2 linked regions of the Callithrix jacchus genome follow. The protein of the gene in region 1 interacts with the protein of each later gene in a pairwise test. Links are inferred from orthologs where the notes say so. Each region holds a gene or a part of one and is shown in the gene's direction. Other genes may lie near its edges.

Region 1 (4,498 bases):
TAACTGAGTCATAGAGTAAACTCTGGCCAGAGAAGAGCAGGTGGCTGGTGCCACAGTGGAGGGGAGGTTCAGTAGGGGGAGCTTCTCACCTGAGTCTGGGGCTTGCCAGGGAAACGGAAAGCGGTGCTGAAGGATTCAGGGACTAGAGGGGTTTGGCTTGTGCGTGTGGGTGTGACCCTGTCCTTGCTAATCTGGCCTCAGGACGATGATGCAGTCCCCCCGGGCATGGAGAGCCTCATTAGCGCCCCACTGGTCAAGACCTTGGAAAAGGAAGAGGAGCAGGTGGGCCTCTGGGATGGCCTCCTCCGAATTTGGAGGCATGGGGTCCATCCTACCCTCTGGTGGATTTGAGGGATGGGATGGGGCCTGGGCACTCTGATCCCTGATCTGCTGTCCCTGCCAGGACCTCATCATGTACAGCAAGTGCCAGCGGCTCTTCCGCTCTCCATCCATGCCCTGCAGCGTGATCCGGCCCATCCTCAAGAGGCTGGAGCGGCCCCAGGACAGGGACACGCCAGTGCAGAATAAGCGGAGGCGGAGTGTGACCCCTCCGGAGGAGCAGCAGGAGCCTGAGGAACCTGTGAGTGCCTTCCTCCTGGGCCCACTTAGGTATATACCTGGGCGGCCAACTCCTTGACTAAGTTTGTGGCAGAGGGCAGGTGGCAGCCTGGGCATGGCAGGGAAATGGGGTACCAGCCAGACAGGGCACTGAGGGCAGCCCCACCCCTGACCCTGGCCTCCATCTGACTCACTTTCCAGAAAGCCCGAGTCCTCCGCTCAAAATCACTGTGTCATGATGAGATCGAGAACCTCCTGGACAGTGACCACCGAGAGCTGATTGGAGATTACTCTAAGGTACCTGTGGCATCGAAGGAGTCTGGGGGGCTGGACCTGTTACTGACTAGGAACCCTCTAGCCCAGGGGCTGCTTGGGTTCCTCCCTCTCTCCCAGAGCCCCCATTTTCTTTGTCCTTTGTATCTTTTTTTTTTTGAGATGGAGTCTTGCTCCCATCCTGCAGGCTGGAGTGCAGTGGCATGATCTCAGCTCACTGCAACCTCTAACTCCTGGGTTCAAGCAATTCTCCTTCCTCAGCCTCCCAAGTAGTTGGGATTACAGGCATGTGCCACCATGCCCAGCTAATTTTTGTATTTTTAGCAGAGACAGGTTTTCGCCATGTTGGCCAGGCTGGTCTTGAAATCCAGACCTCAGGTGATCCACCCACCTTCGCCTCCCAAAGTGCTGGGATTACAGGCGTGAGCCACCACGTGGGTTGTCCTTTATATCTTTTTATCCTTTGTTCTTACACAGACTCCTCCCTCTGGCCCTCCTTGGTCCCCTGACTCTACCTCAAGTTACTCCAGCCATCTGTTGTATCTCCATCTTATTTCCAAGCTCATACCTAGCTTGGAACCCCCTCATGCCTCACCTGTGGGCTTGGCAGAGGGTAGGGAGCAGAGTGTGGGGTCCATCTCTTCCGCTTCCCTTTTTCGTTTTCCTTTCCCCTTGGAAGGTTGTTCCCTAGGTGTCAGACCCAAGAGGTGCTTCTCAGTTGCTATGGGAACCAGAGCTGAATTTGAAGGCCAAAGCAGGTGTGGCCTCTGGGCTTGAAAATGAAACTTCATCCTTTTCAGGCTCCTGGTCTTACCAATTTAACTTTCTCCATCCCTTCCCTTCCCTTCAGGCCTTCCTCCTACAGACTGTCGATGGAAAGCACCAAGACCTCAAGTACATTTCACCAGAAACGGTAAACAGCATTGCACTATTTTCTGGGCGCATTTAGGACTGCAGCTCCGTTGTTGACCTTCCCTGGGGACGGGCTGCATAGACTAGGCCAGAGGACAGGCTAGGGCCATCTGCCAGCTGCCATCCTGACCGACTCCCATGACCTCCTATAGATGGTGGCCCTGTTGATGGGCAAGTTCAGCAACATCGTGGAGAAGTTTGTGATTGTGGACTGCAGATACCCCTATGAGTATGAAGGTGGGCACATCAAGGTAAGGTGGGGAGAGGCCTTGAAGATCCCACCTGGTTTAGGTCCTTGCTTTGCTAAGAGAGTGAATGGAGGACGGGTACGCCCTCTCATGGGGAGTTCCTGACCAGTAAGAGGAGGACAGGGACTGCAGGGGGAGGAGCCTGCCTCCTGGGAGGGGCCCCGGGCTGTGCCTGACCTCTGGCTTCCTGGCAGACTGCGGTGAACTTGCCTCTGGAACGAGACGCCGAGAGCTTTCTGTTGCAGAGCCCCATCACACCCTGTAGCCTGGACAAGAGAGTCATCCTCATTTTCCACTGTGAATTCTCATCTGAGCGTGGGCCCCGAATGTGAGTCCCAGCTCCACCCAGCCAGCCAGTGTTTGCCCCAGCCTTCCCTGCCCAGGCTTACATGTGCTGGCACCATTGTGATGGCCAGGTGCTGTGGATGCCAGCAGAGCAGGTTCCAATGGAGACCTAACAGCACTGAACACTGGAAGGGTCAGGGTCACTGGAGACTGACACAGGGCCCTTAGATTTTGAGAAAGGCACTGCTAGAGACTTGGAACCAGATTTGCTGGACTGTCCCACCTGATGGCCTGGAGCTGACCTCAGCCCCTCTTCACTGTGCATGGTACCCACCTCCCTTCCCCCTCACAGTCCTGCCTATCAGGCCTCATGTCTGCAACCCCATCCTTGCCGCCACCCACCAGAAAATCTGGTTCCAAGTCTCTAGCAGTGCCTTTCTCAAAATCCAAGGGCCCTGTGTCAGTCTCCAGTGACCCTGACCCTTCCAGTGTTCGGTGCTGTTAGGTCTCCATTGGAACCTGCTCTGCTGGCATCCACAGCACCTGGGCCTCCCCAACCCTGGCTGAGCTCCTTCCATCTCTGTTCCTGCTCTGCCTGGCCATCCGTCCTCCCACCCTTACCTCTTCCTGGGTTGCCACTGGTCCATCTGACTGCTAGTGGCTCTCCAGCCTGGCCTCACCCATGTGCTGGGAATCTGCACCCAGATGCCCCTTACAGAGACCTCATCCCTGCTGCCCTCCCATTTTCTCCAGGCATCCCAGCACATGGCACCCACCTCTACCCAGGCACTGGGCCTGGGCACTGGCTTCAGTCTTGGGCCCTCCTCCTCCCTTCTCCCCACCACTGGTCCTCACTGGGTCTTATCCACGAGTGACCTGAATGGATCGCTTGAATTTGGCCCACTTGTCTCCTCTCCTGCTTTTCCTTTCCTGGTCCAGGCACAGATATCGCTAACAAAGATGGTGCAACTGTCTTCTAGAAATGGAGAGCCCATTCCCTTGATTTTACCTTCTTCCTTCCACCTCCCCCACCCTCTTCTGTATAGCCAGACTGATCTGAAAGTGTTCTTGTGGTTACATTCCTGTACTCAAAAGCCTTCTGTGGCTTCCCAGGGCCCTCAGAGGAGTGGATGTGGGGAATAGGTCCCATGATGTACAAGCCACTGCATGCCCCGCTCTGACCACACCCTGCCCGTGCCATCTCAGGTGCCGTTTCATCAGGGAGCGAGACCGTTCTGTCAATGACTACCCCAGCCTCTACTATCCCGAGATGTATATCCTGAAAGGCGGCTACAAGGAGTTCTTCCCTCAGCACCCGGTAGCGTGGGTGGCAATGCCACCAGCTCTGTGTGAGGGTTGGCTTGGCCATTCCCGAGCCCTGGGAAGCGGGGTGGGAGGGTTGGGTCCCTGCCAAGGTTACCCATTCCACTGCATTGACCCCTCTTATCCTGCCCTAGAACTTCTGTGAACCGCAGGACTACCGGCCCATGAACCACCAGGCCTTCAAGGATGAGCTAAAGACCTTCCGCCTGAAGACCCGCAGCTGGGCTGGGGAGCGGAGCCGGCGGGAGCTCTGCAGCAGGCTGCAGGACCAGTGAGGGGCCTGCATCGGTCCTGTTACCTCCCTTGCCTTTCAAGGCCTGGAGCCAGCTGCCCTACGGGCCTGCTTGGCTGAGGGCCTGCTGGAGGCCTCAGGTGCTGTCCTTGGGAAAGATGGTGTGGGTATCCTGCCTGTCTGCCCCAGCCCCGATTCCCCTGTTTCATCCCATCATTTTCCATATCCTGGTGCCCCCACACTCCTGGAAGAGCCCAGTCTGTTGAGTTAGTTAAGCTGGGTTAATACCAGCTTAAAGGCAGTATTTTGTGTCCTCCAGGAGGTTTTTCCCTTGTTAGGGTTAACCCTTCATCTTCCTGTGTCCTGAAAAGCTCCTTTGTATGTGTGTCAGCTGAGGCTGGGGGACAGCCCTGGTCCCCAAGGATGGGTCACAGCTAAACTCCTTCCTGGCCTGGGAGTCAGCTCTCTGCCCTGTGCATCTCCCAGGCCACAGCAGCCCCTAACCTCTGTAGGAACCATGGTATGTCTGCCATGTTGCCCCTCTCTCTTGTTCTCTTTCCTGTCCCGCCATATGAGCACCTCCAGCCTGAACAGAAGCTCTTACTCGTTCCTGTTTCAGTGTTACCTGCGTGCTTGGTCTGTTTGACTTTATACCCACCTCAGGACC
Region 2 (5,296 bases), on another chromosome or scaffold:
ACCATGCTAGCTAATTTTTGTATTTTTAGTAGAGATGGGGTTTCACCATATTGGCCAGTCTGGTCTTGAACTCCTGACCTCAAGTGATCCACCCGCCTCAGCCTCCCAAAATGCTGGGATTACAGGTGTGAGCCACTGCACCAGGACTCATCCCTTTCTAATGTGTGCTGTAACCCTAGTTGACTCTGCTGGGGGAGAATCTGGATCATCTCATTGAGCATCCTACCACTAAAGCAGGAGAAGTCATAAGATACCCTATTCTTTCTCCACTTCCAACTCTCCCTCCTCAGAGCAGCACGAGACATTCCAGACCCTCTCACCAACCACCCCCCTCCACCCCCCCTCCCCCGCTCCTGTCACGAGGCCCAATCCCCCAGAGCCTTTTCATGTGATGCTCAGCTGAGACCCCTTTGCCTATCTCTCTCTCAGTCCCAGAACAAAATTTCTGGGCTGTGTTCACCCGTACCCATCCCAAGAGATGTATCTCCTTAGTCTTCTTACCCAATACCACATTTTCTGACTCCCCACTTTAAATCCCCCACCCCAAGAGACATTTCATCCCTTTGGAGCCCCTGCTCCAGCTCACTGCCAAGGAAGCCTCAGAATCAGTGCCACAGACCTTCTATCCTTCGCCCCTCCAAGCATATGAAATTATTTTCAGGCTCAATCCCAAATCTCCATGTAGGGAGGGAGCCCAGGTGCCCACAACCTCACAAACCAAATAGGAGGGAGAAGCCTGAAATATTGCCAGTATCTCCCATTAGGAGGAGAGAAACCAGAGCAGGGGAATTCATCCCCAAGTTCACACTTGCTCATGTCCACATATCCGCACATACCTTTTGTAGCCCCCACAGCCAGTAAAGCACCTATCACAGCCAAATGGAGAAAGCACCTTTTCATCACCAGACGCATTGTGTTCTTCCCTCCAGCAACCAAAGACACTGAGGGGCTGGGATAGGCCCCTATATAAGAAAAGGGTGCTCATTTGCATAGCCCTTCCTCTTCTCCTTCAGAGAATGCCTGGGAGGGGCCGGAGGAGAGGAAAAAGAAAAAACAAACTGACAAAGGGAACCTGGGCCCTAGACATTGCTTTCCCATCCTGCTACTCAATGACAGTTTCTGGTTTCACAGGGTCATTCTCATCTTGATACACTCTCGGGCAAGAGCTGACTGAAAGGCAGCTGCATAACACATACCAGACACAACAGTTCATCATGGGAGAGTGAATTAAACCAGGAATTTCTCAAATAGACAGAAACAAGGGCGGGCGCGGTGGTTCGCACCTGTAAGTAATCCCAGCACTTTGGGAGGCTGACGCGGGTGGATCATGAGGTCAGGAGTTCAAGACCAGCCTGGCCAACATGGAGAAACCCCATCTCTACTAAAAATACAAAATTAGCCGGGCATGGTGGCACATGCCTGTAACCCTAGCCACTCGGGAGGCTGAGGCAGGAGAATTGCTAGAACTCGGGAGGCGGAGGTTGCGGTGAGCCGAGATCGCGCCATTGCACTACAGCCTGGGCAACAAGAGGGAAACTCCGTCTCAATAAAAAGGAAACAAAAAGAACCCTGCACCCCAAAACAGAGACAGCGTTGGGGTAGGCTATGAGGCGGAGGCAACGACTCTTCCGAGGCCAAGGAATCCTTTACAACGAGATCCCTGACTTCCTGCTTTTCAAAGGAGGCTCCTGGGCCAGGTGGAATTTAACCTTAAGTCGATACATATTTTCCCCGGGAGTGGTGGAAATAGTGAGTTAGAAATCAAGAAATCCCTACAGACTAGAAACATAGAAACTCGGACCCTAAGCAGGTACTTGGAAAGAGTGTTCAGCCGCCCCACCGGGAAAGAAACTTGTCTAGCCCCCAAGAACCAAACTTGCCTGGGGCGGGGTCATTTGCGGGGAGGAGCTCTGGGCTGCCCCCCCCGCTCTGACGTTGACCAATAAGAAGGTCTGGGGGCGGAGCCAGGGAAACGCGGGAAGGTGGGGCGGGGCCTCTGGTGGCGGTCGGGAACTCTGGGGGAGGCGGCAACATTGTTTCAAGTTGGCCAAATTGACAAGAGCGAGAGGTATACAGCGTTCCATCCCGACGCCGGGCCACGGTACTGGGCCCTGTTTCCCCCTCCTCGGCCTCCGAGAGCTAGGGACCGCCTTCTGCAGGGTTCCCAGGCCCCCGCTCCAGGGCCGGGCAGACCCAACTCGCTGGCGCTTCATGGAGAACTTCCAAAAGGTGGAAAAGATCGGAGAGGGCACGTACGGAGTTGTGTACAAAGCCAGAAACAAGTTGACGGGAGAAGTTGTGGCGCTTAAGAAAATCCGCCTGGACACGTGAGTGGCCTCTGTACCCGGGACTCCTAAGGGGACCTCCTTAACTGTGCCCCCCAACCCCCCACGGGCGGGTAGCGGTCCAGCGACCGGAAGAGAGCAGGGAGGGACTTCTTTAGAAGTAGAGGGGTGGGTTGGGGGCCTGTAGAAGGTGGAGAGTACAGGGTGGTGTAGAATCTATGGAAAACTTTCTTCTCAAACTGAGCCCGATGGCGTCCCCAAATTGTGCGACCACAGAGACTCGGGGAGAGAAAGGAGGCCTCTGAGATGAAGTCCAAGACTCTCCATGGAGTTGAGTTATGTGGGAACAGACGAGTAGCGCCTTTCTGAATGAAGAGCCCTCCTCACTGCCCCACCCTCACCTAAGAATTCTCTCCTCTTTCCAAAGAATGGCAGTTGAACCTCACTGGCCCCTCTGGGGAGGTTGGGTGCTACTCCTGCATTTTTAAATTTATTTTTTATTTTCTCACCCGTTACAGTCTCCCTGCTTTACCTTCACCAGGCAGCTTTACTTACCTACCCCTGGGAAAAGAGGAGATAATGACCTTAATATGTCCAAAAGCCACACCCTGACTACCCAGGAATTAGCTCCTTCCAGCACCCTTTCTCTTCTCTCACTTTCCTAGGGGGTGCTGGGTGGTGCCTCCTTGGGGGAAAGAAATGACTGGGAGGGGGAAAAAGGAGTGTTTGTAACCATATTCCCATCTCTGTTTTCCCAACCTCTCCAAGTGAGACTGAGGGTGTGCCCAGTACTGCCATCCGAGAGATCTCTCTGCTTAAGGAGCTTAACCATCCTAATATTGTCAAGTAAGTATGTGTCTGAGAGTAGATCCAGTTGGAAAGAAGGATGAGTTCTGTCTGTACAGTGTGGCCATTTCTCTCTCTCGCACCTCCATTTCCTTGACCTTTCCTTCTCTAGGCTGCTGGATGTCATTCACACAGAAAATAAACTCTACCTGGTTTTTGAATTTCTGCACCAAGATCTCAAGAAATTCATGGATGCCTCTGCTCTCACTGGCATTCCTCTTCCCCTCATCAAGGTAATGCTTCTCATCAGCTCCCCCCTATCATGGACGTGTCTTGGGGGACTGATGGCAGGCAATTCTGGGTGATATTTTATGATCTTGGCCTTCTTCTGAGCCCTCATCTACTACACACACACACTCCCCTTCTTTTTGTGTCTTCTTCCCTGCTCATTATACTCATTAACTCCAGGGTTGGACTGAAGAATCAAAGTTGAAACTCTAGTGAGTCAACCTAGCAACTCAGGTGGGAGGTCAGATGAAACTCAGATAAATGGGATTTGAGAGCACCTGGTAAATTCCTCCAAAAAGCCCTTCTGTTTGGTGGAAGAACTAGCCAATGAGTCTATTATCTATTTTAGGGCTGGATTCTTCACTCCCAGAGCTACTTTGAATCTATTAACAAACATTTATTCAATGCGCAGCATATAGAAAAGGAATGCAAAGTTGAGTAAGACTTGCTCCTTATCCTCTCTGGGCTGACAGTTTAATGGGAGAAATACCTTGTAAATATGTAATTATAATCCAACGCAGTAAAGGCCTTAGTAGAACCATGGGGGCGCAGAGCAAACCCAATCTGCTCATTGTGGTGAAGAAACACAGTCCTCTCTTTCTCCTTTGTCAGAGCTATCTATTCCAGCTGCTCCAGGGCCTAGCTTTCTGCCATTCTCATCGGGTCCTACACCGAGACCTTAAGCCTCAGAATCTGCTTATAAACACAGAAGGGTCCATCAAGCTAGCAGACTTTGGACTAGCCAGAGCTTTTGGAGTCCCTGTTCGTACTTATACCCATGAGGTGAGTCCCTTTTTGCCTTTCTTCTCTGAGTTTCCCAAGAGGTGTTAACTAGGGCATTCACAAAGTTACTAAAAATATCTGGCCAACAGTTTCTTACTAGGTAGAAGTAATCTCTTGACATCCTAAAGAGTCCTAGGGTATGCATGGAATTCATACTGTGTTGCTAACTGGGCTCACGCCTGTAATACCAACACTTTGGGAGGCTGAGGTGGGATAATCACTTGAGCCCAGGAGTTCGAGACCATCATGGGCAACATAGCAAGACCACTCTCTACAGAAATAAAAAATCAAATAAAATTATGATGACCATTTGTCTCAAGTTTTTCCAGAAAGATCTCAAATTGGGGTTTCAGAAAACATGGTCTCCAGAACTATGGACTGAAAATCAGTGGGAGGGCAAAGATGGAGGGAAGGAAACTGCTTGTTAAGAGGCCAAGAGTTAGCAGAGTAATGCTGAGGAACTGAGATTTGGGACTCTCTGTACCCTATAAACCACCCCACCCTCCCTATTCTTGTCCCTCAGGTGGTCACCCTGTGGTACCGAGCTCCTGAAATCCTCCTGGGCTGCAAATACTACTCCACAGCTGTGGACATCTGGAGCCTGGGCTGCATCTTTGCTGAGATGGTATGGAGGCTTGCCCAAGTTCCACCCAGCCCCGTTCTCCCCACATCCAAGAACAACAGAACTGTTCTTGGCCCAGACCTATGATGCTTCTATCACAGGGTTCTCTTTCTAAAGTAGCACCAAGGGGAATGGTGAGGAAAGGATGCAACTGTTACCCCAATATCAACCACAATGTTAGGATATCCAACAACAGCCTTAGTACCTAGTATACATCTCTATCCCTGAAATGAGGTAAAACATTTCTGCATCTGTTTTAACCATAGTCTGCATATATTTGGGAGAATGATTCCATTTAGTGCCTCTTTTATTTTAGGGCTTCACTTCAAGGCCTGTAGACCTTGTTGTATGGTGCCAGGAATGTAGTGAAGCCAGTTGTGGTCACTTTGTTCACACCCTTCATTTAAACTGCAGATTTAGACAGGGCGCAGTGGCTCATGCCTGTAATCCCAGCACTTTGGGAGGCTGAGGTGGGTGGGTTGCCTGAGGACAGGAGTTCAAGACCAGCCTGGCTAACATGCTGAAACCTCAT

Evidence for each region.
Region 2: the proteins of CDC25B (region 1) and CDK2 interact in a two-hybrid assay, tested with the Homo sapiens proteins (2 studies listed by BioGRID and IntAct). The link is inferred for Callithrix jacchus from reciprocal best matches to the Homo sapiens genes CDC25B and CDK2.

The regions. Positions count from the first base shown.
Region 1 is NC_133506.1:11,330,215-11,334,712, forward strand, and holds part of CDC25B (M-phase inducer phosphatase 2), read left to right. Parts: intron 1-201; coding exon 202-282; intron 283-403; coding exon 404-580; intron 581-759; coding exon 760-855; intron 856-1,681; coding exon 1,682-1,744; intron 1,745-1,895; coding exon 1,896-1,994; intron 1,995-2,185; coding exon 2,186-2,319; intron 2,320-3,482; coding exon 3,483-3,594; intron 3,595-3,733; coding exon 3,734-3,874; 3' UTR 3,875-4,498. UniProt on the Homo sapiens protein: Tyrosine protein phosphatase which functions as a dosage-dependent inducer of mitotic progression. Directly dephosphorylates CDK1 and stimulates its kinase activity.
Region 2 is NC_133510.1:63,708,047-63,713,342, reverse strand, and holds the start of CDK2 (cyclin-dependent kinase 2), read left to right. Parts: upstream 1-1,976; 5' UTR 1,977-2,211; coding exon 2,212-2,327; intron 2,328-3,053; coding exon 3,054-3,131; intron 3,132-3,243; coding exon 3,244-3,364; intron 3,365-3,971; coding exon 3,972-4,142; intron 4,143-4,665; coding exon 4,666-4,767; intron 4,768-5,296. Other genes in the region: melanocyte protein PMEL, read right to left, coding at 837-912. UniProt on the Homo sapiens protein: Serine/threonine-protein kinase involved in the control of the cell cycle; essential for meiosis, but dispensable for mitosis. Phosphorylates CABLES1, CTNNB1, CDK2AP2, ERCC6, NBN, USP37, p53/TP53, NPM1, CDK7, RB1, BRCA2, MYC, NPAT, EZH2.